7 linked regions of the Callithrix jacchus genome follow. The protein of the gene in region 3 purifies or fractionates together with the protein of the main gene of each other region. This does not show direct contact. Links are inferred from orthologs where the notes say so. Each region holds a gene or a part of one and is shown on either strand. Other genes may lie near its edges.

The links.
Region 1: the proteins of KPNB1 (region 3) and NUP50 purify together in Homo sapiens (affinity purification with mass spectrometry; 4 studies listed by BioGRID and IntAct, counting the BioPlex papers as one, with this or other methods). This does not show direct contact. The link is inferred for Callithrix jacchus from reciprocal best matches to the Homo sapiens genes KPNB1 and NUP50.
Region 2: the proteins of KPNB1 (region 3) and NUP214 purify together in Homo sapiens (affinity purification with mass spectrometry; 3 studies listed by BioGRID and IntAct, with this or other methods). This does not show direct contact. The link is inferred for Callithrix jacchus from reciprocal best matches to the Homo sapiens genes KPNB1 and NUP214.
Region 4: the proteins of KPNB1 (region 3) and DLGAP5 purify together in Homo sapiens (affinity purification with mass spectrometry; 4 studies listed by BioGRID and IntAct, with this or other methods). This does not show direct contact. The link is inferred for Callithrix jacchus from reciprocal best matches to the Homo sapiens genes KPNB1 and DLGAP5.
Region 5: the proteins of KPNB1 (region 3) and KPNA6 purify together in Homo sapiens (affinity purification with mass spectrometry; 4 studies listed by BioGRID and IntAct, with this or other methods). This does not show direct contact. The link is inferred for Callithrix jacchus from reciprocal best matches to the Homo sapiens genes KPNB1 and KPNA6.
Region 6: the proteins of KPNB1 (region 3) and NUSAP1 purify together in Homo sapiens (affinity purification with mass spectrometry; 3 studies listed by BioGRID and IntAct, counting the BioPlex papers as one, with this or other methods). This does not show direct contact. The link is inferred for Callithrix jacchus from reciprocal best matches to the Homo sapiens genes KPNB1 and NUSAP1.
Region 7: the proteins of KPNB1 (region 3) and RCC1 purify together in Homo sapiens (affinity purification with mass spectrometry; 3 studies listed by BioGRID and IntAct, counting the BioPlex papers as one, with this or other methods). This does not show direct contact. The link is inferred for Callithrix jacchus from reciprocal best matches to the Homo sapiens genes KPNB1 and RCC1.

Annotation. Positions count from the first base shown.
Region 1 is NC_133502.1:215,202,934-215,207,121, reverse strand, and holds the start of NUP50 (nuclear pore complex protein Nup50), read right to left. Parts: upstream 2,801-4,188; 5' UTR 2,505-2,800; intron 1-2,504. UniProt on the Homo sapiens protein: Component of the nuclear pore complex that has a direct role in nuclear protein import. Actively displaces NLSs from importin-alpha, and facilitates disassembly of the importin-alpha:beta-cargo complex and importin recycling.
Region 2 is NC_133502.1:179,784,267-179,787,766, reverse strand, and holds part of NUP214 (nuclear pore complex protein Nup214), read right to left. Parts: intron 2,385-3,500; coding exon 2,321-2,384; intron 1,842-2,320; coding exon 1,738-1,841; intron 19-1,737; coding exon 1-18. UniProt on the Homo sapiens protein: Part of the nuclear pore complex. Has a critical role in nucleocytoplasmic transport.
Region 3 is NC_133506.1:118,641,086-118,644,585, forward strand, and holds part of KPNB1 (importin subunit beta-1), read right to left. Parts: intron 2,834-3,500; coding exon 2,633-2,833; intron 1,213-2,632; coding exon 1,060-1,212; intron 1-1,059.
Region 4 is NC_133509.1:89,761,185-89,765,454, forward strand, and holds the start of DLGAP5 (disks large-associated protein 5), read right to left. Parts: upstream 2,801-4,270; 5' UTR 2,656-2,800; intron 150-2,655; 5' UTR 149-149; coding exon 1-148. UniProt on the Homo sapiens protein: Potential cell cycle regulator that may play a role in carcinogenesis of cancer cells. Mitotic phosphoprotein regulated by the ubiquitin-proteasome pathway.
Region 5 is NC_133508.1:68,747,175-68,751,442, reverse strand, and holds the start of KPNA6 (importin subunit alpha-7), read right to left. Parts: upstream 2,801-4,268; 5' UTR 2,798-2,800; coding exon 2,704-2,797; intron 1-2,703. UniProt on the Homo sapiens protein: Functions in nuclear protein import as an adapter protein for nuclear receptor KPNB1. Binds specifically and directly to substrates containing either a simple or bipartite NLS motif.
Region 6 is NC_133509.1:45,265,340-45,269,422, forward strand, and holds the start of NUSAP1 (nucleolar and spindle-associated protein 1), read right to left. Parts: upstream 2,801-4,083; 5' UTR 2,714-2,800; coding exon 2,621-2,713; intron 1-2,620. Other genes in the region: OIP5 (protein Mis18-beta), read left to right, coding at 3,102-3,450, 3,981-4,047. UniProt on the Homo sapiens protein: Microtubule-associated protein with the capacity to bundle and stabilize microtubules. May associate with chromosomes and promote the organization of mitotic spindle microtubules around them.
Region 7 is NC_133508.1:65,179,976-65,184,131, reverse strand, and holds the start of RCC1 (regulator of chromosome condensation), read right to left. Parts: upstream 2,801-4,156; 5' UTR 2,726-2,800; intron 2,351-2,725; exon of another isoform or gene 1,848-2,350; intron 1,348-1,847; exon of another isoform or gene 1,135-1,347; intron 1-1,134. UniProt on the Homo sapiens protein: Guanine-nucleotide releasing factor that promotes the exchange of Ran-bound GDP by GTP, and thereby plays an important role in RAN-mediated functions in nuclear import and mitosis.

The sequences.
Region 1 (4,188 bases), on a different chromosome or scaffold from region 3:
CGAGGCCAGCTTGGCCAACATAGTAAAACCCCATCTCTACTAAAAATACAAAAATTAGCCAGGCGTGGTGGTGGGTGGCTGTGGTCCCAGCTACTCAGGAGGCTGAGGCAAGAGAATCGCTTGAATCTGGGAGGTGGAGGTTGCAGTGAGCCAAGATTGCGCCACTGCACTCTAGCCCTAGGCGACAGAGTGAGACTCGTCTAAAACAACAACAACAAAACAGTGCCTGGAACAGAGGAAGGGCTTAATGAATTATTTAAAAAACAAGTTTAGTTAGAAGCAAAGGCTATGAACTACCATCTTCCGTCCAAAACTTGAAAGCTGTAGCACTGCAGCATGGAAGAATAACCTGGATTACAAATCAGACTTTTAAAAACATTCTACCAAATCCCTATTTTATTTCAAAGCATGACACGTCAGACAATACATTTTCCTTTTATGCTAGAAGTGGAAAAAAAAATATAACACTCTGTAACCTATTCAGAAACAAGGCTGTCACCTGGACAGTCTTAATCTAGCTCTTATTATAAAAAATTTAAGGGAGGCCGAAGGATTACTGAAAGCCAGGAGTTGGAAACTTACCTGGTCTCTACAAAAATTCAGAGACATAGATTAGATGAATAAATACAAATAAAAACTTAGCCGGGCAAGGTGGAGCACACATGTGGTCCCAGCTACTTGGAAGACTGACGCAGGAGAAGCACCTGAGCCCAGGAGGTTGAGGCTACAGCGAGCCACTACTACACTCTGGCCTGGTGACCGGAATCTCAAACAACCAATAAAAGGAAATTTTAAAAACGTTTGTGCTTGTGGGTAAAACACACACACACACACCAAGTTTGACATGATTGCTAGGGATGAAGCAATGTGGTAGTAGACTAGGTAAACTGGACAAAACATTACATGTGCCTGATATAGTTACGTGGTCTCTGGCATCGATGCCGCTCTGCCCTTGAAGCTGAACTTGTCAACATCAGCTTAAAACGAAAACACAGATTTGGCTATATTTAATAGTGAGGTGCCTTGTTGGAGGAAGAGAACAAGGGGACCAACCAAGGAGACAGAAATACCAAATCTCCAAACTGTTTCTTAATGGAATTGAGCAAAGGAGTGATCGATGACCCGGGAACGCAGTAAGAAAGCGAAGCCAGGGCCGGGCGCGGTGGCTCACGCCTGTAATCGCAGCACTTTGGGAGGCCGAGGCGGGTGGATCACGAGGTCAAGAGATCGAGACCATCCTGGTCAACATGGTGAAACCCCGTCTCTACTAAAAATACAAAAATTACGTCCGGGCGCAGTGGCTCACGCCGTAATCCCAGCACTTTGGGAGGCCGAGGCGGGTGGATCACGAGGTCAAGAGATCGAGACCATCCTGGTCAACATGGTGAAACCCCGTCTCTACTAAAAATACAAAAATTACGTCCGGGCGCAGTGGCTCACGCCGTAATCCCAGCACTTTGGGAGGCCGAGGCGGGTGGATCACGAGGTCAAGAGATCGAGACCATCCTGGTCAACATGGTGAAACCCCGTCTCTACTAAAAATACAAAAATTACGTCCGGGCGCAGTGGCTCACGCCGTAATCCCAGCACTTTGGGAGGCCGAGGCGGGTGGATCACGAGGTCAAGAGATCGAGACCATCCTGGTCAACATGGTGAAACCCCATCTCTACTAAAAATACAAAAAATTAGCTGGGCATGGTGGCGCGTGCCTGTAATCCCAGCTACTCAGGAGGCTGAGGCAGGAGAATTGCCTGAGCCCAGGAGGCGGAGGTTGCGGTGAGCCGAGATCGCGCCATTGCACTCCAGCCTGGGTAACGAGAGCGAAACTCCGTCTCAAAAAACAAAAAAGAAAGCGAAGGCAGGCCAGAGAGGTAATGGGGCCAGGAGAAGAGAGACGAGGGGGGGCCAGGGAGAGAGAAGAATCGAGAGGAATCGCAAGGAAGGAAACGGAGACGACCAAGCCGAGACCGCCCCCGCCAGCCCCTTACCTCCGCCGGGGCCCAAGGGCGAGCCTCACTCCAGTCCAGCGCCTCAGCCCGGGGAGGCCCGAGCCCCGCCGCTGTCATCCCACCCCACCCTCCGCCCGCCCGCGCGCCCGACCCACGGCTCCCTCCCTAGGGTTCCCGCCCCTAGCCCTGCACCCCGCTCCCCAGGGTCCGGTTCTCCAGCCCCGCATGCCCCTCCCAGGGTCCGGTCCCCCGGCCCCGCACCCTCCTACCTAGGATCCCGGCCCTGAACCCACGTCCCACTCCACGAGGTCCCGTTCCCCGGCTCCTCTCTCTCCCCAGGGTCCCACCCCCGCCTTTGAACCCCCATCCGCATCCCCAGGGTCCGGTTCCCCAGTCCTGGACCGGCACTCCCCTCCCGAGAGTCCCCAGCCCCGCACTCGCACTCCCCACCCAGGCCCGAGCCCGAGCCCGCTCCCGCCCTCCCGGCCCTGGGCTCTCAGCACCAGGCTCCCGCCCTCAGCCCGTTTCCCTCTGGCGCCAGCAGCCGCATCTTACCTGCCAAGCGGCGGCCGCAGCACTAGCTTGGTCTTGGGCGCGGCGGCGCTGGGTGTTGAAGCGGCTGGTGGTGGCCCGGCTGTGCGCGCTCGGCCGCTTCCGGTGCTGCACTGCGGCTCTCAGAGGACTCGGTGCTCCGCAAGCCCTGAGACACAAACACCATATCCCCGGGGGAGGCCCCTCACGCTGTGTTCGGCAGGGAGGCGACAGCGCCGGCTCAGCCGGAGACCGCTGGGGGAACGCCGCGGAACACGCTCCGGGCGGCCATTTTGTAACTCGAATCTACCCCCAAAAGCAATTCGAAAAAAAAGGGAGGAAAGAAACGCCCGCGTTCAGCTATTGCGCAAGCGCGCCGGAGACACAGCCGCAGCACCGCCTTCCGCCCGCCGGGCCCCTCACGCGGCGCATGCGCCCAGTTCCCTGGAAACCCGCGTGGGGCGGAGCGCGCCCATCTCGCGCAAGCGCGCATGTGCCGACCTTAATAGCGGCGTCGGCTGTCAACGCAGCGGCTTGAGCTGTCCGCTCGCTCGAGCGGGGCTGGCTGTGCGTCTTCTAGGCTGTTCCTGCGCTAGTCGCCGCTGAGGGGCTGGCGATGCGCGAGGAGCTCCGGCTAGGAAGGTCAGTCGGTGGAACGTGTCCGAAGCCTGCGGTGTCCGCGTGTGGGAGCTTTAGGGCTGAGGACAGGCCGCCCGCGACCCTCGGGAGTCGCTTCCCAAGTCAGGCGGCCCCGCCCAGGTGTCCGTGCTGGCGGTTCGCAGCCGGGGGGGCCCCGAGGGGCTGCGTCGCGGCGCTGGGAGGGGCCGTGTGGACCGCCCGTTAAAGGACCCCCTCGTCGTTCAGCAGACGACTGACACGTGTTTTTGCGTCGGGCGCCTTGTGTCTTTTCAGACACTGAGATCCCTTCGTGTTCAGCCGTCAGCTGGGGGAACGAGCCCCGTGGCTTCCGCGCTGAGGGAGTCCACAGGCTCGGCAGCCTCTGAGCGCCTTTCTCCCCAGCAGCTTGCGATCCCTCATCCCAGGCCCTGTCATTCCCTCCTGCCTCAGCCTCCCGAGCAGCTGGGACTACAGGCAGGCGCCATCACGCCCGGCTACTTTTTGTATTTTCGGTAGAGACGAGGTTTCACCAGGTTGGCCAGGCTGGTCTCGAACTCCTGACCTCAGGTGATCCACCAGCCTCGGGCTCCCAAAGTGCTGGGATTAGAGACGTGAGCCACTGCGCCCAGCAAATGCTTTCGTTCTTAAGATATTGTTAGGTTTTAGGCCCGGCGCGGTGGCTCAAGCCTGTAATCCCAGCACTTTGGGAGGCCGAGGCGGGTGGATCACGAGGTCAAGAGATCGAGACCATCCTGGTCAACATGGTGAAACCCCGTCTCTACTAAAAATTACAAAAAATTAGCTGGGCATGGTGGCGCGTGCATGTAATCCCAGCTACTCGGGAGGCTGAGGCAGGAGAATTGCCTGAACCCAGGAGGCGGAGGTTGCGGTGAGCCGAGATCGCGCCATTGCACTCCATCCTGGGTAACAAGAGCGAAACTCCATCTCAAAAAAAAAAAAAAAAAAAAAAGATATTGTTAGGTTTTAAAGGGGAGGCAAGGGTTAGAGAATGACACAGGTCAGCGTGGTGGCGCACTCCTGTAATCCCAGCACTGTGGGAGGCCGAGGCTGGTGGATTACCTGAGGTCAG
Region 2 (3,500 bases), on a different chromosome or scaffold from region 3:
GTGCTTTTCTTCTTTTTTCTACAATAAATAAACCAAGAAAAAAATTCTCATGTGCAATTTTTCTCAGATCCTATAGTACAAGAATATCAAATGATAAATCATTTAAAGTTTTATAAGAATATTCACTCAAAGTCTAAGTATAGATATGAGGACATGGTATAAAGGCAGCATTTAGAACAAGGAATACAAACATTGGCCTCAACCGAACTGCATTTAAACTCTGTTCCTCCACTTTCTGCCCATGAGACAAGCAGATTTTTTAACCTTCCTGATACTTACTGTTCTCATGTGTATACTAGACCTACTAAGCCTACTTCAGAGGCTATTTTTAAGTGTGAAATGAAATGATATATATAAAACTTCAAGCCCAGTACATAAAACATAAATAGCAGTTAATAAATACTAGTGTTAATATTATCGCCCAGAATAAAAAAAACCTCTAATTATAACTTAAAATAAGGCATCTAGGTAAACGTATTTTAAAAATTCAACCTTAAAACCCAAAAGAGTTAAAAACAAGACATCCTTTTCAAATATCAAATTGTCCTCCCCTGACCACCCAATCTTAAGCACACACTAGTCATCATCTATCCTAACACGGCTTTATTGTCTCCATCACTCTGATCAGTCCTTGATCTCACACTTAATTATTAACTATCACATTAGAATGTAAGACCAGCCAGGTGTGGTGGCTCAGGCCTGTAATCCCAGCACTTTGAGAGGTTGAGACAGGAGAACTGCTTGAAGCCAGGAGTTCAAGACCAGGCTCGGCAATAAAGCAAGACGCCATCTCCACCAAAAATTTAAAAATAGCTGGATGTGGTGGTGCATGCCTGTGGTCCCAGCTACTCAGGAGGCTGAGGCAGGAAGATGGCTTAAGCCCAAGAATTTGAGGCTATAATGAGCTCTGATCATACCACTACACTCCAGCCTGGGCAACAGAGTGAGACAAAAATAAATAAAAATTAAAAACAACAACAAAGAAATGTAGACCATAAAAGCAAGGCCATAACCTTGATCACTGCTATACAGTCAACTTTAAAGCAGCCCCTAGCACACTGTTGGCATTAAATATTTGAGGGCAAATGAAATAATTTTAAAAATCAAGATACTGTCTTGCTTTCTAAAATTTCTTTATCAAGCTAACCAAGACTCAGAGTTTATAGCTTAAGCAAAATCATTTACCTTTTTAACCTTATAACAAAACAGTAGAACACTTTAAGTGAACACTCCAATTTTGGACTGCAGGCCCACGGTACAGCATGGAAACCTTATACCTGAAGTTGCATAATCACTGCCAGTAAGTAAAAGAACCTGAAATCAGGTTAGGTGTGGTGATGCACACCTGTAATCCCAGTACTTTGGGAGGCCTAGGTGGGTGGATCACTTCAGCTCAGGAGTTCAAGACCAGCCTGGGCAACATGGAAAAACCCCATCTCTACAAAAAAAAAAATTACAAAAATTAGCTGGGCATAGTGGTGTGTACCTGTAGCACCGGCTACTCAGAAAGTTGAGAGGTGGGATGATCACTTGAGTCTAGGAGGTTCAGGCTTTAGTGAGGCAAGACTGCGTCACTGTACTCCAGCCTGGGCAACAGAGTGAGATCCTGTCTCAACACACACACACACACACACACACACACACACACACACACACCCAATCTTGAAATCAAAGCCTCCAGCTTTATTGGAAGACTTCTCTAATTCTTAAACAATGATGTTTCTTTCACATGCATACCGGTAGTAGAGCCATAACCACATCTGGAGATGTTTCCAGGGTCCCATCTGCAGCAGCATACACTATTGTGAAGACATATGTACCAATCCACAGCACATCCAGAACTGAAAGACACACCCTAATCAGCAGGTCATAAAAATCACAGCAACCAGATACAGCCAAAAGCATCTCACGTTTGGAATAGCTACTGCAAACTATAACATATATGACGAATAAAAAAATCAAAATACTATAGCTTTAACAAAGGCCCAGATTTCATTGATTAATATAATTCACAGGTACAAAGACCCAAGAAGCCCAAACTCATCCTCAAATGGTAATTTTTCTGCTTGATTATAATCAGGGCAAATTATGAAGAACTGTAACAAAAAGTCAGGATCCATTTCATGTCATTTACCATGAAACACAGATGTCACCAGAGGGCCATAATTTACACTGACTTAATTAGCTGTTTGAAATAGTGACATTATTCAGGAAGCAAGCAGCAACACCTCACTGGGCAGGTACATCACATGATTATGAATTTCTGCAATACACGTAACACATCGTTAGAGGTCAGCCCAATAAGAAAAGCAGTTGTTACCTCTGACAGGATGATCTGCCTCATAAAATGGAGGACAAGGAATGACTTTTTTTTCCTGCAAAGTCTGAAAGAGATTTGGAGGGGATAATAAAGTATCAAATGAAACAATCCCTAAACCAATGAAACTGTCAAATCCATCTGTTCCCTAGATGCCACCTGTTCCAACTCCTTGGCTAGGAGAGACTGAATAAACAGAACAGTGTTGTCTACTTCTAGGACTTCATCCTACAGAAATGCATGAACATGGCTGGGTGTGGCAGCTCATGCCTGTAATTCCAGCTCTTTGGGAGGCTGAGCTGGGTAGATCACCTGAGGTCAGAAATTTGAGACTGGTCTAGCCAACATGGCAAAACCTCGTCTCTACAAAAAACACAAAAATTAGCTGGGCATGGAGGCAAGTGCCTGTAATCCCAGAGACTTGGGAGACTGAGGCAGGAGAATTGCTTGAATCTAGGAGGTGGAGGTTGCAGTGAGTCGAGATTGCACCATTGCACTCCAGCCTGGGAGACAAGAACAAAACTCCGTCTCAAAAAAAAAAAAAGAAAAAAACATAGGAATATGTTCAGACATAGGTAATTAAAGTAGCCAATGCAACACCATTCCCAACAGCAACATCACTAGCACTGATGCAGACAATGATCAATACTGGAATAAGGCTGGGCGAGGTGGCTCACATCTGTATCCCAGGTCAAGGTAGGCACACTGCTTGAGCCCAGGAATCTGAGTCCAGCCTGGGCAATATGGCAAAACGCTGTCTCTACAAAAAACACAAAAATTAGCTGGGCATGGTGGCAAGTGCCTGTAATCCCAGCTACCCAGGAGGCTGAGGTGGAAGGATCACTTGAGCCCTGGAAGGCTGAGGCTGCAGTGAGTCATTATGTTATCACACCAATGCACCCCAGCCTGGGCAACAGAACAAGATCATCTCTTAAAAAAAAAAAAAAGCAAGCAAGAAGAAGAAAAAAATTTTAAGGTAAACAACAAAGCAAGAACATTAAATAAACTGCATTATCTTTTTACAGGTTAATGCTCTATAATTTCATATAACTTTTGGTAATAACAAATACCAAATTTCATATAACTTTTGGTAATAACAAATAAGAAACATAACCTTAACCTCAGACCTATACGACCTACGTTCACTACTCTGCGCCCCTCCCCTGCAGAGAACAGTCTCGGG
Region 3 (3,500 bases):
ACCAATGACTGAGAAAGGGGAAAATGAGGAGTTGTTGTTCAATATGTACAGTTTCAGTTTTGCAAGATAAAAAGGTTCTGGAGATTGTTTCTATAGCAATGTGAATCTACTTAACTGCACATTTAAAAATGATTAAGATGGTTAAATTTTATGTTATGTATTGCATTTTCAGCCAAAACGTTTATATGTATCTCTTCATTTATTTTATTTTTTTGAGACAGTCTTGCTCTGTTGCCCAGTCTGGAATACAGCGGTGCAATCTTGCAGCCTTGAACTCTGGGCTCAAGAGATCCCCACCTCAGCTTCCCAAATAGCTGGGATTATAGGCACGTGCCAGAGCACCCGGCTATATGTTGCTATAATTATTTCATTTTTCCTTTTTTTTTCCCCATTATAAGCCCTGTAAACACAAGAGCTCACCAAACAGGTTAAAAACTCAGTTGTTCCTCTCCACAGAAATCTTTATTTTTTAGAGACAGGATCTTATTACATTGCCCAGGCTAGTCTCAAACTCCTGGCCCTCTTGCCTTGGTGGCCCAATGTGCTGGGATTATGGATGTGAGCCCTGGCACTCAGCCTCCACGAAATCTTTAATAAAAGGCAGAAAATTCATGCAATTTTAAAAGAAAACAAAGTATATAGGATATACCATAATTTGTTTGCTTCTTTTTTTAAGAGATGGTATGTGACTTTGTTATCCAGGCTGGCCTGAATAACTGGCCTCAAGCAATCCTCCTGCCTCAGCCTCTGAAGTAACTGGGACTACAAATATGAATCATCACACCCTATAATTAAAAAAACCCAACAACATTCCACACTTTGGACTGCAAAAGGAAAAACCTAAGCTAAGAAATACTTTATTTCCAAAAGCATGATGAGGAATGGCAAATACTCCATGGCATATCTCACACAATACAAACTTGACTAAACAGGAAACAAAATACTTTTAAGTAGGTGGTACTTTCTAAATCATAAACTTAAGAAAACAAAACAAAAAACTTTCATTTAACTCTTTCATTCCTTACTATCTGAATCTACCTCTTTGTCAAAAAAACTTACCTCTTTATCAAAGTTTGCTTTGGTGAACTCCAATGAGTTCAGGAGTGCATTAGTAGCAGCTAGCTTCACATTATTACTAGGCTCTTCTTTCCTCATCCCCTGGATTATGGCAGTCAAAATCTCATTGGATTTATCTTGTAGCTGCTCTGGGTCCTGTAACAAGCAGAGAAGTACAATGAATATACAGTTGGCCCTCTGCAGCCATTTGTGGACTCAAGCAACTATGGATTGAAAATATTCAGAGGAAAAAAAAATGGACAGTTACATTTGTACTGCATCAAAAGGTGTGCATTCACCTTTATTTTATTGTCATTATTTCCTTAATACAGTATACCAACTATTAATATAGCATTTACATTAAATTAGGTGTTGTAACTATTCTAGAGCTGATTTAAAGTATATGGGAGGATGTCCATAGGTTATATGCAAATATTACACTATTTTATGTAACAGATTTGAACATCTGAGGATTTTGGTACCTGAGGGTCTTGGAATCAATCCCCTCCAGAAGACTGTCATAAGGAGCTCAAGCAGTCTTTTTCTGTTCTTAAGAGAGTGTCTCACTATTTTGCCCAGTCTGGAATGCAGTGACTATTCACAGGCACTATCACAGTGCACTGTGCCCTCAAATTCCTGGGTTCAAACAATCCTCCCACCTCAGCTTCCCAAGTAGCTGGGACCACAGGTATATGCTACTGTGCCTGGCTTAATCGGCAGTACTTTTAACTGTAAAATTCACTCAAGAAAGTATCATGACTTGGTGGTCTTTCCCCACCCATTTCCATTTGGGAATAGCACTGCAAACCACCTGCAAAGTATCCCATGGTATTGGCAGTTCAAAACTGAACAAAAACAAGTCAAACTCATCAACTTAATCTTTGACTTCTTAGCATAATGACTGTGGGTATAAGGTAATACTAGCTTTCTCCCCCTCTGTGCAAATGAAGATGGCAGCCTGGTGGCTGCCAGGCCATCTGTACACTCAAGTAAAGCTTCAGGACATTTAAGGACCAAGGATCAATACCTGGGCACATCTAGGGAGTCTAAGTCCACGTCAAATGCTGTGTGCTCCTTTGCTTCATAAAGTCTATACATATATATAAATAGACACCACGGGTGGTGGTGTTCCTCATCAGGAACAACAGTGCTAGGAGGGCTGCGTCTGTGTCTCCAGTGGCTAAACCAACTACATCAAGAGTTGACAAAACTTTCTGTAAAGCAGTAAATGAAAATGCACCATGACATTCATGGTACATGCAAGATCTTAAGAAAAAGGATTGGGTTAGGGATGCTCCAAATGAAAATCTCCTCGTTTTGTATGTCTAGAATCTAAGCTTCTTCAAACATTGACTTCCATTTTGAGTTTGTAGTCCTCAGGTTTCTTTACTTTAGGGTATGATTAGCAATGTGAAGAAAGAGGCCTAAGGGAAATAAATCAGTCTTACTTTCAAAACATTGTGCAGTTTCAATTGGCTTTCTTCGTTGTTCAATAAGGTAGTACACTAATACCATTCATGTCACAGCTAGAGGCAATCACAGGTATATAAACCAGGTAAATTAGGCAAGCACTTACTATATCTTGGCAAATATAACCGATAGCTTCCAATGTTGACTCCTTCATATGCTCTGTGCTGCTGGGGTTTGTGACATTGGCCACCAGCTGAGGAATGAGTTCTGGCCACTGGTTTACTGGGATCTCTGCACAAGCAATACCAGCCACACACTGTGAGGCAGAACTAGGCCGGTAAGTTTCTGTGCCCAATGTCTGCAAAACCTGCACCAAAAGAAGACAAAAGATACATATTTCTAACACTCTATTTGACCACATTTTGCCCACCACCATATTCAGTGTCTCTGATTTTTTTTTTCCCTTAAGACGGTCTCACTCTGCTGCCCAGACTGGAGAGCAGTGGCATGATCACAGCTCACTGCAGCCTCAACCTCTGTTGCACAATCTACCCTCCAGCCTTAGCCTCGTGAGTAGCTGGGACTACAGGGGTGGGCATGCCAACACACTCAGTTATTTTTTGTAGAGACAGGGCATCACCATATTGCCCAGGCTCTTTAGAAAAAAAAAGGAAAGGAAAAAACAAGGTCTCATTGTGTTGTCCAGGGTGAAGTGCAGTGGCACAATGATACTGCAGCCTCACCCTCCCAGGCCTTCCAAGAGTAGCTTAGGCTACAGGCACACACCACCATACCGTACCCAGCCAACATTTTTTGATATTAAGTAGGGATAGGGGTCTCCCTATGTTGCTCAGGCTGGTCTCAAATCCCTGGCCTCCCAAAGTGCTAGGATTACAGGTGTGAGCCACTGCACACAGGCAGTGTCTTAGAATTCTTCTCTGTGATATCAAGAAGTATAAAAGGCTGTCAGAGAAAAAATCAGCCTCAGTAGCAACATTAGCACAATCAACACTGCCCCAGAATCTAGAAACAAA
Region 4 (4,270 bases), on a different chromosome or scaffold from region 3:
TTACATCTTTCAAACCAAAGTGTCTATTTCGTTCATATTCCTTATGTCTGCTTTCTTTCTGAGACAGTGATTTCCTGTGAGCAATTTTGGTTCTAATCATTTCAGTACTTAAATCCTTCCTATGTCGACTGGCAAAATGTGAAGACATCCTGTCAAGGAAAAGCACAAAACCCAACTTACATGAATTTTCATTATTTAAAAAATTAAGATTACAGTTCATCTCCTGTCCCACTTCAGGGCCTTCTGAAATAAAATATGAAAATGCACAATGAAATAAGTATGTAACACTGATAAGTGGGAAGGAGATTATCAGAGCATAGGAAGCTACAACCGATTTGGGAGTTTTAAATAGGAACTTGCTTGACCGATGAAGAGAAAGCCAAGAAGCTATAGTACAGAATAAAAGAGGCTCTGGGCTTACCATAGAGAACACCGCAAAAAGAAAAGCATGAACTATAGATGAATAGGGTAAGTAAGTGAAGAACTGTGTATAGAATGGTTTCCTTACCCATGATGATGAATGCAGGTAGTCTAACATTTCTTCAAAAGCCAAAAAAACAAAAACCCCACACCAGGTGCCTCCTAGTCATGTAGGAACAATCAACAGGCAACTGGACACAGATAGTTGGATAGAGAGGCACAGGGAAAGGTATGTGGAAATGAACAAGAAGCTTCCATGCTCCCTCAGGTAGCACTGCTGGTTAGGAACCTGCATGTGTTCACCTATCTAGAAGCTCTCAAAACCCAGGTTTTGTTTTTTGTTTTTTTTAAAATGTCAGCTTCATTACATACACATGAGTGATTAAATCATTGGCCATTGGTGATCAAATCAACCTTCAGCTCCTCTCCCCCCACCTCGCAGAGGTTGTGAGGTGGGGCTGAAAGTCCCAACTCTCTACTCCTGGCTTGGTCTGTCTAGTGACCAGCCCCAATCCTGAAGCTACTTAGAGGCCTCCAGCCATCTGTCAATCATTAGCATACAAAAAGATATCCAAGGATTTTAGGCGTTTTCCAGAAAACAGAACAAGACCAAATATATAGTTCACAATAACCGTATCACTTTGCTCCATTATTTTCATCCATACAAGAACAAGAAATCATATAGTTTAGGCCCGCCTGGTGGCTTAGGCCTGTAATCCTACCACTATGGGAGGCAGAGGCGGGAGGACTGCTTGAGCCCAGGAGTTCAAGACCAGCCTGGGCAACATAGCATAACCCCGTCTCTATAAATTTAAAAAAAGAAAAGCCATACATACACACATGCACACTCACAAGATCATATAGTTTACTTGGCACAACCTTTTTCTAGGAAAGATCTATATTCAAGCAAAACAAAAGAGGACAATAAAGACGATGTCAGTGGATCCAACTGGGGAGAACAAAGAAAAGTGGAGTTTGAGGGGGTCACCAGTGTAGCTGGTACAGAAAACCACCAAGCCAAACTGGAGAAAGGGTACTGATTCTCAGAAGTCTTGGCAGTTAAAAAAAAAGGGGGGGGGGGGGATGGGGGAAGGTTCTGTGATAGACACACTATGGTATAATCTTCAACAAGAACTAAATCTACTAGAAAACTCCAGATAATGGAAAAATTGGCACAAGAAATGCAATAAATTGTTACACGATTCTAAGCAATCAACAAAGTATAAAAAATGAGAATCTGGGCTGGGTGTGGTGGCTCACGCCTGTAATCCTAGCGCTTTGGGAGGCAGAGGCGGGCAGATCACCTGAGGTTGGGAGTTTGAGACCAGCCTGACCAACATGGAGAAACCTCATCTCTACTAAAAACACAAAATTAGCCAGGCACGGTGGTGGGTGCCTGTAATACGAGCTACTTGGGAGGCTGAGGTAGGAGAATCACTTGAATCCGGGAGGCAGAGGTTGCGGTGGGCCGAGATTGTGCCATTGCACTCCAGCCTGGGCAACAAGAGCAAAACTCCACCTCAAAAAAAAAAAAAAAGAGACTCTGTCTGACCTGCATGTCAACTGACTGTACTTTTTATCAAGAACTCTCTTCCACTATTTATCTCCGGCAGTATTAATTTGGTAAATGTTGAAGAACAACTAAGGCTTATGTATTAGTTATTTTAAATAGGGGATAGCACTATCCACAGCAACAGAGAGAAAGAGCGAGAACATTAAAGGTATAATTATCAGAATAACCCTGAAAGGCGGTTACTATTATCTCTCATGAACAGATGGGGTAAATTAACTGCTCACTTTAGCATAGTTAAAAGCTGGTGGAGCTGGGATCCCAAGCCAGGCAGCCTGGCTCTTGACAAACACCTAAATTTTGTTTGGCTGAGTGGCGTTTCCTCCGGCTTGCAAGTCTAGACTGCGTTAATTTTGCATGACTTGAGGTTCTCAATCGGGCGTTTTTAGTCGTCATGGTATCTGGGAAGAGCTACGGGAATTTATTGTCGGAGCTAGGGATGCTAAACGTCCCTCGACGTAAAGAATAATTTCACCCCAAATGCCAATTACGCCCCGGTGGTGAAACGCTGACTAGTAGATAGGTCACGGCAAACAGACTGACTCTTCTGGAGACTCGCTTTATCAGCTTCCGAAAGGGCAAGGTAACACAGTCCTAGAGGAGCCTGCCTCTGACTGGCTCCCGCTCGCAGCCCCCGGTCCTTAGACCCTTCTAGACCCACCTACCTGAGGCACCTTCTAGCGTGAAACCTCAAACAAAAAGTAAGGATCTGGACGACCACCGCCAACTCCGAAGCAGGAATCCTCACAACCCGAGCCTCCACGAAATTCAAACTTGCTGCACCAAGCCTCTGATTGGAGGGACTTTAACAAACACTTCCGGGGAAGATCCCGCCCCTTCCACTCGACGAGGCTTGCGATTGGTTTGCTCCGTGCGACATTTGAATTGATTGAAAGGTGAAGGGATGGTTCAAAAGATGGGTGCGGAAGGAAAAAAGGCGGGACGACGATGCGGTATGAGAAGGGGTGGAGCGGTGGGGGCGCACCTGTCAGGTGAAGTGCGAGAGTGGGCGGCAGAGCCCGAGAGGTGATGCTGGGACCCTGGCAAAACTGGGCTGCGGGAATCTCCCCCAAAGCTCGCAATGCTTCTTCTTTCTTTCTTTTTCTTTTTTTGAGACAAGGCCTCACTCTGTCGCCAGGCTGGAATGCAGGGAGCCATGCAGTGGGCCACTGCTCACTGCAGCCTGGACCTCCCAGGTTCAAACCATTATCCCACCTTAGGCTCCTGGATAGCTGGGACTATAGGTGCGCACCACCACGGCGGGCTAACTTTTAAAAACTTTTGTAGAGACAGGGCCCCACTGCGTTGCCCACGCTGGATTCAGGGGCTTTTTAATATTCTTGTTTAGTCACAGAATCCAGCAGACCTTCCTGGAATGTTTACTAGACATTTTAAACAAAAGGCTTACCCCGGTTATCTCCTTACATCATTTAGTGTTGCTTTTCAACGTCACCAGCACCCCTCCCCCTTTATTTCTTTTCTAGTCCATTTTTTTGTTGAGGTGAAGTTTTTGTACAGTGAAAATAATAGTATTTTCCCCCAATCGACAATTTGATGAGCTTTGGTAAATGTAAACACCTGTGTAACTACCACCCAATCAGGACATACAGCATTTCCACCACTCAGAAGAGTGGCCTGTGTCTTTCCAATCCTTCTCCCACCGCATCAGCAACCACTCCTCTATCTCTAATGCCATAAAAATGAAAGTGATAGGTACTCTTTTGGGTCTGCATGAACCAGAAGTTAGTAGTTTTTGTTACTGAGAGGCATTCCATTGAGGACTTTATACATTCACCAGTGGACAGCTTTGTATTGCTTTCAATTTTTGGCTAATATGAGCAAAGTTGCTGTAAACATTCTTGTACAAGTCCTTGTGGGCATATTTTATTTCTCTTGAGGAAATACTGGAGTGGAATTTCTGGGTCATTCTGGGTATGTTTAACGTAAAAAAAAATTTTTTTTTGAAGCAGGGTCTCTCTGTCCCCTAGGCTAGAGTACAAAGGTATAATCATAGCTCATTGCAGCCTTGGCCTCTTGAATAGCTGAATGGGTGAGCGCCATCACCCTTGGTTATGGGTGTGTCTAACTTTATAAGGAATCACCAAGCAGTTTTCCAAAGTGGTTGTACCATTTTGCTATCCCCACTAGCCATGTATAAAAGTTCCACTTGTTTCACATGCTTTCCAGCATGTTCGGTTGTCAGTGTTTAATGGTCATCTTTCTGGTTGGGAACAGTGGCTCATGCCTGTAATCCCAGCACTTTGGGAGGCTGAGGTGGGC
Region 5 (4,268 bases), on a different chromosome or scaffold from region 3:
CAAATTACGTATCTGATTACGGTTTAACATCCAGAATAAAGAATTTCTACAATTGAACAAAAAGACAACCCAATTTAAAAATGGGTAAACAATTTGAATAGACATTTCTCTAAAAGCATATATAAATGGCCAATATGCATATGAGAAGATGTTCAACATCATTAGTCCTTAGAGAAATACAAATCAAGGTTGGGCACGGTGGCTTATGCTTGTACTCCCAGCACTTTGGGAGGTCGAGGCTGGTGAATCACTTGAGGTCAGGAGTTTGAGACCAGTCTGGCCAACATGGTGAAACCCCGTCTCTACTAAAATACAAAAGTTAGCTGGGTGTGGCGGTGACCGGCACCTGTAATCCCAGCCACTTGGGAAACTGAGGCAAGAGAATCACTTGAACTCAGGAGGTAGAGTTACAATGACTCAACCTGAGAAAGCTGATTGAAAAACATAAATAAAAAAGTTTTAGGCCAGGCACAGTGGCTCACGCCTATAATCCCAACACTTCAGGAGCCCGAGTCAGACTGATTACCTGAGGTCGGGAATTTGAGACCAGCCTGACCAACATAGAGAAACCCCCCCACTACTAAAAATACAAAATTAGCCGGGTATGGTGGTGCACACCTGTAATCCCAGCTACTCAGGCGGCTGAGGCACTTGAACCTGGGAGGCGGAGGTTGAGGTGAGCTGAGATCACGCCATTGCACCCCAGCCTGGACAACAAGAGCAAAACTCCATCTTTAAAAAAAAAAGTTTTAAAAACCACAATGAGATACTAATCCACACCTACTAGGATGGAATAAAAATAATAAAAGCACACATTGGCTAGAATCTAGAACCTGGTAGATTGCCGGTAAGAATGGAAAATGGTACAGCCACTGTGGAAAACAGAATAGTGGTTTCTAAAAAAATTAAACGTAACTACTATATAATCCAGCAATTGTACTCTTATACTATTCCTCCCTTATTCACAGTTTTGCTTTGCAAAGTGTCAGTTACCCATAGACAATTGTGGTCTGAAAATATTAAATGGAAATTTCCAGATATAAACAATTCATAAGTTTTAAATTTCATATTATTCCAAGTAGCATAATGAAATCTCACACTAACCCGCTCTATTCCAACTGGGACATGAATCATCTCTTTGTACAGTGTATCCACACTATATACACTGCCAGCTCGTAGCAGATATTGCAGGGTTTGTGTTCAAGTAATCCTTATTTTACTTAACAAAGTGTAAGAGTGATGATGCTGGCATACTGTTATAACTGTTCTCTTATTATTGTTTTTAATCTCTTGTTGGGCCTAATTTATAAATTAAACCTTGTCATAGGTATGTATGTATAGGAAATAACATAGTATATAGGGTTTGGTACCATCTGCCATTGCAGCTATCTACAGGGGATCTTGAAATATATTCCCTCTGGATAAGAAAAGGACTACTGTATATGTATACCATGAATATCATTCAGCCATAAAAAGCAATGAAGGTCTAATACATGCTACAATATGATCAAACCTTGAAATTAACATGCTAAGTGAAATAAGCAAAACACAAAAGGACAAATCTTATTTCACTTACTTGATGTCCCTAGAGTCAAACTCAGAGACAGAAAGTAGCTTAGAGGTTACCAGGTGCTGAGAGGAAAGGAAAATAGGGAGGTATTTCTTAGTGGGTAAAGAATTTCTGGGCCGGGCGCGGTGGCTCAAGCCTGTAATCCCAGCACTTTGGGAGGCCGAGGCGGGTGGATCATGAGAGATAGAGACCATCCTGATCAACATGGTGAAACCCCGTCTCTACTAAAATTACAAAAAATTAGCTGGGCATGGTGGCGCGTGCCTGTAATCCCAGCTACTCAGGAGGCTAAGGCAGGAGAATTGCCTGAACCCAGGAGGCAGAGGTTGTGGTGAGCTGAGATCGTGCCATTGCACTCCAGCCTGGGTAACAAGAGCGAAACTCCGTCTCAAAAAAAAAAAAAAAAAAAATTTCTGTTAGAGGCAGTAAAATGTTTGGAAATAGATATTGGTGATGATGGTCACATAACAGTGTAATTGTAATTAATGCCACTGAATTGTACACTCAAATGAAAAATTTTGTTACATACATTTTACCACGAAGTTTTTTTTTTTTTTTGAGACAGAGTCTTGCTCTGTCACCTAGACTAGAGTGCAGTGGTGCGACCTCAGCTCACTGTACCCTCCGCCTCCTGGATTCAAGTGATTTTCTTGAGTGAGTTTCTTGTAATCTGAGTAGCTGGGATTACAGGTGCCCACCACCATGCCCAGCTAACTTTTTTATTTTTAGTAGAGACAGGGTTTTTCCATGTTGGCCAGGTTGGAATAATCTTTTTCTTTTTTTTTTTAAACTGGCATTGTAGCCTGGGCTCAAGCCTATATTGCCAGAATTTTGGGAGGCCAAAGTGGGCAGACTGCTTGAGCCCAGGAGTTCCAGAGCAGCCTGAGCAATATGGTGAAACCCCATCTCCACAAAAAATACAAAAATTATCTTGGCATGGTGGTACACACCTGCAGTCCCAGCTAGTTGGGAGGCTGAGGCAGGAGGATTACTTGAGCCCAGGAGGTTGAGGCTATAAGTGAGCTGTGTCTGTGCCACTGCACTCCCTTTGAGGCCTGATTATCCCTGTGAGACTAACATGGTAGAGGACAGATTTCTAAAGGCAGCACTGTGAACTGCTGTCCCCTATTTACCTGACACGTGGCTTTTCATGACTGAGCCTAGGCTGTCCTGGACGCTAGCCTCTCCTTCAAGCACAGCTGACAGTGAAGCTGGAAGGAGCACCATGCTGAGCTTCTTTAGTCACCATGGTGACAAGAAACTAACACAAATATTTGCTTATGACCTCACTGGGGAAGCAGACAAGGGAGGTTAGATTGGAAGGAGGAACATCTGCAAAAGCACATCTGGAATCTCAGGGAAACAGCAGGCCAGTGGCTTTTTCCATTATGTACTCCCTTACTTGCTGTCGATGAATTTTTTAAGATCTACAATACGAATAAATCTTTTCTAGCATCTGACTGTCCTAGACTGTCTTTGGGTTCTGTCTCTGTCTCTCTCTCTCTCTCTTTTTGAGAGTCTCACTGTGTTGCCCAGGCTGGAGTGCAGTGGCATGATCTCGGCTCACCACAACCTTCGCCTCCTGGGTTCAAGTGATTCTCCGCCTCAGCCTCCCAAGTAGCTGGGATTACAGACGCCTGACAATATGCCCAGCTAATTTTTGTATTTTTAGTAGAGTCAGGATTTCACCATGTTGGTCAGGCTGGTCTCGAACTCCCAACCTCAGGTGATCCACCCACCTCAGCCTCCCAAAATGTTGGGATTACAGGCATGAGCCACTGCATCCAGTTTTCTGTGGGTTTTCTTAGACAAGGAACTCTCTCAAAGTGAATAGGTCTCTGAAGTTACACCTTCCATTTCTAGGGAATAAATGTCTAATGTTGCCATGCACTTTCTAAGCTTTCAAAACCAAAAAAACTAGCAATGATAATACAAAATAGGTATGGGCCCTAAAATGCCTGAATCATCGTCTGCTCCAAATTCATACGATGAAGTCCTAAACCCTGATACCTCAAAATGTGACTGAATTTGGAAATAGAGTCCCTAAAGAGGTAATTAAGGTAAATAAAGTTACTGGGGTAGGCCCTAATCCATAACTGGTATCCTTAAAACAAGAGAGGGAGAACACCATGTGAACATGAAGACAGCTATCTAGAAGCCAATAAATAACAAAGGTCTAAGAAACCAACTCTTCTGTAAACTTTTTTTTTTTTTGAGACAGAGTCTTGCTCTGTCACCAGGCTGGAGTGCAGTGGTGTGACCTTGGCTCACTACAACCTCTGCCTCCTGGGTTCAAGCTAGTCTCCTGCCTCATCCTCCCAAGTAGCTGGGATTATAGGCGCCCGCCACCATGCCCAGCTAATTTTTGCATTTTTAGTAGAGATGGGGTTTCACCATGTTGGTCAGGATAGTCTCGATCTTCTGACATCATGATAGGCTTGCCCTGGCCTCCCAAAGTGCTGGGATTACAGCTATGAGCCACTGTGCCTGGTCCCTTCTGACAACTTGATCTCAGACTTCTAGCCACTACAACTGTGAGAAAATACTTTTCTGTTGTTTAAACCACCCAATCTGTGGTTCTTTGTTATAGTGGCCCTAGCAAACTAATATAGGCTGTAATTATCTAAAGAAGGCATTGACTCCTGCTAGTATCTAATACCAAATTCAAGTTAACTAAAGCCTTGTCTTTAGACCCGGG
Region 6 (4,083 bases), on a different chromosome or scaffold from region 3:
GCCAAGTTGAGTCAAGATAAGAAGTATCAAAAGTAGGAAAGTTCATGACTAACAAGGAAATGGGCCAGGTATGGTGGCACGTGCCTATAATCCCACCTACTTGGGAGGCTGAGGGGAGAGGATGGCTTGAGCCTGGTAGATTGAGGCTGCAGTGGGCCCTGATTATGCCACTGAAGCCTGGGCAACAGAACGAGACCTTATCTCTGGGGGTGGGGGGGGAGGAGGATCAAATTCTCATTTTAAGGTTTACAGTCATATATCTAAAATTAGCTCAGTCAACAAAGTTAGGTATTTTTCTCCAGCTAGAGTTAGCTGCAGACATATAAGCAAAGATTAAGCACATAGCTGGGTTTAATCAGGCTTCGGTTTTGCCAGGTGAGTAGAGGGAGGTGCAAGGAAGTGGAAATAGTGCCAGTATTTGTAATTTAAGCTCACAAGAAAGGAAGTGAGGACATGATTGAGAAAAGGTCCAGTGGCCACACAAACATTAATAACTGGTTTCTTCAATTTTCTTTACCATTAAGAGAAGTCTCTCAAAAGAAAGAGCTAATATTCTCTCCTATAAATTTATTAGTAGTAGTAGTAGTATTTTTAGACGGAGTTTTGCTCTTATCGCCCAGGCTGGAGTGCAATGGTGAGATCTCCCATGACTGCATCATCCGCCTCCCTGGTTTAAGCAATTCTCCTGTCTCAGCCTCTTGAGTAGCTGGGATTACAGGTGCTGGCCACCACGCCCAGCTAATTTTTGTATTTTTAGTAGAGACAGGGTTTCACCATGTTGGCCAGGCTGATCTTGAACTTCTGACCTCAGGTGATCCACCTGCCTTGGCCTCCCAAATGCTGGCATTATAAGCAGAAGACACCATGCCCAGTCACAAAATTATTAAAAATATCATACTAGTAAAATTTATTTAAATTGTGTTGTTTCATTTTCATGAAATCTTGATAATTTCTCAGAGAATTTTATTAATATTTTTGCTATGTACTAGATTTCAAAAGGCAATTGACTTAATGAGCTCTTGGGATGTACCAACAGGAAGTAATTTAAAACATATTATGGAAAATTTCAAACCTACAAAACTGGAGAGAATAGTACAATCCCATGTACCTATCACCAGTTTCAGTAATTATTAACATTATGCTATTCTTCACCTAGTTTCTCCCTTTTTCCTCGAGTATTTTACAGCAAATTTTGCAGTTATCATGACATTTTACCTATAAATACTTGATATGGGCCAGGTGTGGTGGCTCATGCCTGTAATCTCAGCACTTTGGGAGGCCGTGGCTGGAGGATCACTTGAGCTCAGGAGTTCAAGACCAACCTCGGCAAAATGGTGAAACCCTATCTCTACTAAAAATACAGACACACACACACACACACACACACACACACACACAATTAGCCAGGCAGATAAAGGAGAGAGAAGGGGATCTGAGGCCAAAGGGTCAAAATAAGCAATTGCACAAAGATGGATAAAAGTGCCAAGTGTTCAGGGATACAGCCTTGGATAAAAGACTCCAGCCAGGCAGCAAAAAGGCCTAAGGAATTTATAGGGGAGCCATTAGCCACTCTTGCTCAGAAATATCCCCAAGGACAACCCTTTGGTCATTCAGCCCCAACAGGCACCTAGGCTCTAATTATTTTATTTAAACCATTTAAAAACGTTTGTGATGACTGATTTAGGCATTTATTCAGTGTCAGTATCATAGCCTGCAGGACAAAACTCCAGAGTATACAGCAGTATTAAGTGGAAAGTCTCAACTATTAAGAAAGTATATAAAACTGCAATCCAACATTGAATGCCCAAATCTTCTTCTTCTTTTTTTTGAGAAATAGAGTCTTGCTCTGTCCCTGAGGCTGGAGTGCAGTTGCATGATCCCGGCTAAACGTCCGCTCCAGCGTTCGACGCCTGGTTCATTTTTTAATGACTAGACTGGTCTCCAACTCTTGACCTCAGGTGATCCGCCTGCCTCGGCCTCCTAAAGTGCTGGGATTACAGGTGCGAGCCACCGCGCCCGGCCAATTCTCCAAAACATCTTGCAGCCTTGGAGTCAAAGACCTTACTGGTTTTGAACGAGACCATCGCCACAGTAGTCATCAATAAGTACATGATTACACTAGATCAGCGCTGAGTTATAAAAATTCACCCATGGAGGTGGTCCTCTAAAAGTCGTTTTTTGTTTTTTTTTCCCTGACAGGTCCACCAACAAAGCATCAAGAAATGATCGGCAATATTACAAATCACTGAAGTCTAACTGTTGGGGAGTTTTCTAGCAGCTAAGCCAATTACGTATTTAACTGTCTAACGATTAACAACAGGGCTTTCTGGGCCTGCGTTTCGTCATCAATGCCCTGAGAGGTATAATTTCAAAAACAAAACAAAACAACAAACCAGCAAAAACACCAAGAGCAGCCAGCCTCAAAATGAGGTGAAAACTACAGTTCTTTTTCCGTTTCGCTGAGTTCTAACTGGGACCACCGTGAACTACATCTACAGCTCGAGGGGCAGGGACAGCCGCCTCGGCCCCGGGCTTCCCGCTCTATCCCTTCGCACCACATCTCCCCAAGGCCGCTATTCCCGCGGATCCCGCCCAGGGGCCTGCACCGCCAGCACCATACCCTCAGGTTGGCCCGGAGACCCAGACTCTTGGCTAAGTTCTGCAGGTCGCTGTACTTGAGGGAGTCCAGCTCCTCTAGGGAGGGGACGACCATCGCGATTCGAAATTCCGGCGATACTCAGAAGACGGATCACACAACTCCGGTAGAACAGTTGAAATCCCTGGCTCCACTTCCAGCTTTGACCAAACAGAAATTTACATACAGTTTAAAAAATGAAGAATGCCGCGCTTCCACTGGTTGAAAATGCCCCAAAGGCGGGATTTCTAACCCTGACCAATAGAAAGGCTGATTTCCCGTCCCATCAGACGCGCGCTTTTCCCACATCTCAGGAATGCGCGGGTGCCTGAAGTGCCTGCAAGGCGTGTGCAGGTAACCAGCGCAGAGCAGACCCCGCTGCCCACGATGTCCAATGAGGACGCAGGAGCTGTGCTTGGGGCGTGGCCTAGCGTGTATTCGAAACGGAGGCGCCGGCTGCAGGAAGATGGCGGCTCAGCCCCGGCGGCGTTTTTCGCCGCGTGCAAGGCCACCCCAGGTTGACTTTTGCGATGGCACTGAGAGGACGATTGACGAAGCTTCTTTTACGACCTCCATGGAGTGGGATACTCACGTGGTGAACGGGTCCTCGCCGCTCGGCCCCGCGGGGCTGGAGGCTGAGGAGCTGGCCACCGGCCAGCAGCTACCGTCTTGGCTGCAGCCTGAGCGGTGCGCTGTGTTCCAGTGCGCACAGTGCCACGCGGTGCTCGCCGATTCGGTGCATCTCGCCTGGGACCTGTCGCGATCCCTCGGGGCCGTGGTCTTCTCCAGTGAGTGCAATGCGGCATTCGGGAAAGGTAGAGACGAGCCCGAGAGGCTGTTCCGCTTTCTCCATCGGTGGAGGAGAACCACCGGGGGAAGAAAACGGGATGAAAATTTGAGGCAATAACTTCGTGACCTGAGGATGGGGCAGGGAGCCGGGGAGTCTCCTGATGTTTATGGCGAGGATGAGTCTGTCTATAGGAGAGATTTTCCTTTTTTTTTTTAAGACAAGAGTCTCGCTCTGTCGCCAGGCTGGAGTGCAGTGGCGTGATCTCGGCTCACTGCAACTTATGCCTCCCAAGTTCAAGCGATTCTCCTGCCCCAGCCTCCTGAATAGCTGGGATTACAGGCACCTGCCACCAGGTCCGGCTAATTATTGTATTTTTAGTAGAGCTGGGGTTTCACCATGTTGGCCAGGGTGGTCTCGAACTCCTGACCTCGTGATCCGCCTGCCTCAGGCCTCCCAAAGTGCTGGGATTACAGGCATGAGCCACCGCGCCTGCCTGATATTTTTCCGTTTCAAGGCCCGGAGAGGTTGGGTTCTGACCCATGTTTGTCTTTTTAGGAGTTACAAATAACATCGTTTTGGAAGCGCCCTTCCTAGTTGGCATTGAAGGTTCACTCAAAGGCAGGTACGTATTGAAAATTACATATTGGTTTCGAGTCTC
Region 7 (4,156 bases), on a different chromosome or scaffold from region 3:
TCTATCTTTTTTTTTTTTGAGATAGTGCTTCACTCTGTTGCCCAGGCTGGTGTTCAGTAGTACGATCTCAGCTCACTGCAACCTCTGCCTCAGAGGTTCAAACGATTCTCCTGCCTCAGCCTCCCTAGTACTGGGACTACAGGTACGTGCCACCATGCCAGGCTGTTTTTGTTTTGTTTTTGCTTTTTTGAAACGGAGTCTCACTCTGTCACTAGGCTGGAATGCAGCGGGGAGATCTCGGCTCACTGCAACCTCTGCCTCCCAGGTTCAAGCGATTTTCCTGTCTCAGCCTCCCGCGTAGCTAGGACTACAGGTGCACACCACCACACCTGGCTAATCTTTGTATTTTTAGTAGAGACAAGATTTCACCATGTTGGCCAGAATGGTCTCTCGACCTTGTGATCTGCCCACCTCAGACTCCCAAAGTGCTGGGATTACAGGTGTGAGCCACCGAGCCTGGCCTCTCTGGCTGTGTTTGCTTAACCAGGCAGTGAGTGTCTGGGTTGGGAATAAGGAGTTGGCTTTTGCTGTCATGCTTCCCCGCCCAGCCCCACCCAACACAGCTTCCATCTTCAAGGAGCTTATACTCTGGGAAAAGAGTGATATAGTCACCGATAAGTTGGCTACAGAATCACCTTCCACCACAGATACTCCAGAATGTCCACAGCTGACCTTGAGGTGAGCGGACTCATCCTGGTTTTACAGCTAAGGGGAAGAGGAGGCTCAGGGAAGATGAGACCCTGGTGGGTCACCTGGAACGAAACCCCAGTCTCATGATCACGCCCCACCAGGGCCAGAGCCGCCCTCCTCCAGCTCACTTTCCTTATTTGCTGAAGAAAGCAGGTAGGCACGCCAGTCTAGACAGTCTACCCAGAGCCTTGTGCTCCTGCCCTGACCTCACCACAGCCTCATTTCAATAAAAGAAGACAGAGCCCTCCCAGGCCACTGCAGCTGTGCCCTCTGTCCCCCATGCCAGGGGATAGAACTTGCCTGCCAGACTCAGGCTGAAAAATCTCTTTGTGTGAAAGGTCCCCAGGAGAGGAGGAGAGGGCTGATGTGTCAACAACATACATTTGCTGAGGTGCTGTTATGCCAGGCACAGAGCTGGCATATTTTACACTAGGAGTTTCTCACCAGGGATCCTCGTTGTATACAAGCTGTGCCTGGGCCTATGTGTTTATTTTTCCTGGGGGAAGGGAGCCACAACTTCCACTAGCCGTTGGAATCACTACTTTATGAAAGTTACCACTTGGGAGACTGAGGCAGAATTGCTTGAACCCAGGAAGCGGAGGCTGCAGTGACCGAGAGCACAACACTGAACTCCAGCCTGGGCAATAGAGGGAGATTCTGTATCAGAAAAAAACAATTAAAGAATATTAGTCATCCTCACCACATGCGCCCCCCTCATCACTTTACAGAAAAGAAAACCAATGCTCAGGGGGTCTGGGTGGATTGCCCAGGGGCACCTGATGAGAAAGCTGTAAAGGTGAACAACAGAACAGGATTCCTCCTCTGGGAATGTCTTTGAAACAGGAGCCTTGTGAACTCCTAATTCATCTGTCCAGGTTTCACTCTGATGCGCTTTTTGGGGGGAACCTTCCCTGCCTCCTCCACCCCCTCCCTGTTCCTTAGCCTTGCACACAAGACCCTTCGTGACCTAGCTCCTGCTGTATCATCTTGCTACTCTCCTCCTCCGGTCACCTCAAGACCTATGGTAACTGACCACAATAACTATTCCTTCATGCCTTTGCACGTGTTGTCCCTCTGCCTGAATCACCCTAATCCCACTATCCTCAAGCTGCCTGAAAAACCTATTCCTTCAAAACCCCGTTCAAGAGTCACTTCACCTGGAAAGACCTGAGCCTCCTTGGCAGGGTGGGCTTTCCCGTGAGGATTATCATAACATCCCACATACTCAACTTCTGCTAGGGCACACAAGTCACACGTGGATGGAGGAGTTCAGTCAATATCTGATGAATGAATGACTCCCTAGTAGCGTCCGTCGCCCGGGCTCAAGGGCATAGTTCGCTGATCACACTGGACCTTAACTTTGGACCCACATGAGGTCTCTCCAAGGAACCCCAGAGCTCGGTAAGGAGGGCGACGGGAGCCCGCCCTTGTCACTACTGTCCCCCAGCCCCGCAAGAACAGCACGGAATAGATGGCCAACAAATAATTTGCTTGACAGACTGAGCTGCTGCAGAGTTCGAGACACACGGCTCCCAAGGGTCCACAGCGGTGCCCGCCGACGCTGGGGCTTCTCTCGCCGCAGCACCACCCAACCTCTTCCGGGCAGGGCGCCCTCCCCGCTTTGCAAACCGCCTTCTTCAAGCGCATGCCAGACAAAACCACCCTCCTCGCGGAAGAGACGCAGCCCCTGCCCGAGCGGCCGCGCGCACCCGGACCACCGCGCTCGCGCCGTTTGAATCTCCCGCCTGCGCGGGCGCCGCGGCGCGGGCGTGAGAGGCGCGGCGGCGGAGGGGCAGTGCGGCCCTGGCTCCGCGAGGCGGAGCCCAGCGGCCGTCCGAGCGTCCCGCGGGGCCAAGGAATCGTGAGCCCGCACCGCGCCTTCCAGCAGCCGGGCTTCACGTGGGGCCGGCGCCGCGCGACAGGGCCTAGAGCGGGCAGCGACCTAGTCCCGCGTGGACCAGCCCGTGCTTCGCCTGCGGCCGCCCCACGCGCCACCCTCCGCCCGGACCCTCCGCGGGTCCGTAGCGAGACCTACCTCGTTGCACGTCGGCCCCAAGGAACTCCAGCGCTCCCCGCCCGGCCCGAACTGCCCCAGAGCATGCGCTCTGCAGGCCTCTGGCCCCGACCCGGGCGAGAAAGGAAAACAAAGAGCCCGGCGGCCCCTGGCGGCCATCCCGCGATCTGCATGTGGCGCGCTCCCGGGCTCGGGGAGCTCTTGGGCAGGCTGGCTCCCCTGGCCCGGGTTCCAGTGGGTGTGTATTTTGGAAACCCCAAATCGGGACAAGCGGGGTAACAACCCAAAAAACTTCTTGAATTCGTGTCTGTTTAGGAAAATCTGGTGCGGTAGGGTCTGTAAGAAGAAAAAAGATACTCATCTTCCCTACCCTCAAGAGGGTGTCCATGGAGAAGGATGAGAAATCTATCAACAACCACACAGCGCTATGACACGGATACCCACAGGGGCATGTGACTCAGCCTGGGGCTTAAAAACGGCTTTCCAAGTTAAGTCTAGGAGGGCTTGTTCCCTCTATCCTGAGGTCGTGGGGAAATATGGGGATTTGGGCACGGGAATGGCATGACCAGATTTTTTTCCCCGTGGGTATGTGCCCATGTCTTAACAAGGTTTGAGGGAGGCACATCTCACATGTATATGAACACCCAGTCTTTTTTTTTTTTTGAGACGGAGTCTTCCTGTGTCGCCCAGGCTGGAGCAGTGGCAGCGATTTTGGCTCACTGCAACCTCCACCTCCCAGGTCCAAGCGATTCTCCTGTCTCAGCCTCCCGAGTAGCTGGGACTACAGGTGCGCTCCACCATGCCCAGCCAATTTTTGTATTTTTATTAGAGACGGGGTTTCGCCTTGTTGGCCAGGCTGAATTTCTTCTATTCAGAGCCTGCCACAAAGCACTCCCCATGTTGTCAGGGTATCTTACCTCTCCAAGTGTGTCTCTGCCTCCATCATGGACTCCTTTTTTGGATGATGTACAGTGAAATCTCTCCAACTTTTAACCCTGGGATCTTTAATCTCTCTCTGCTGTCTTCCTCCAAGATCTTACGCATTCATGTAGCTTCATGTAATAATAATAAGTGGATTATTATTACTATTCCCTATTTTGTAAGACCCTTTATTCTGGGTTTTCTTTTTTTTTTTTTTTTGAGACAGTCTTGCTCTGTCGCCCAGGCTGGAGTGCAATCACATGCTCTCGGCTCACCACAACCTCCACCTCCTGGGTTCAAGCAATTCTCATGGCTTAGCCTCCCAAGTAGCTGGGATTACAGATGAGTGCCACCATGCCTGACTAATTTTTGTATTTTTAAGTAGAGAAAGGGTGGGCCGGGCGCGGTGGCTCAAGCCTGTAATCCCAGCACTTTGGGAGGCCGAGGCGGGTGGATCACGAGGTCAAGAGATGGAGACCATTCTGGTCAACATGGTGAAACCCCGTCTCTACTAAAAATACAAAAAATTAG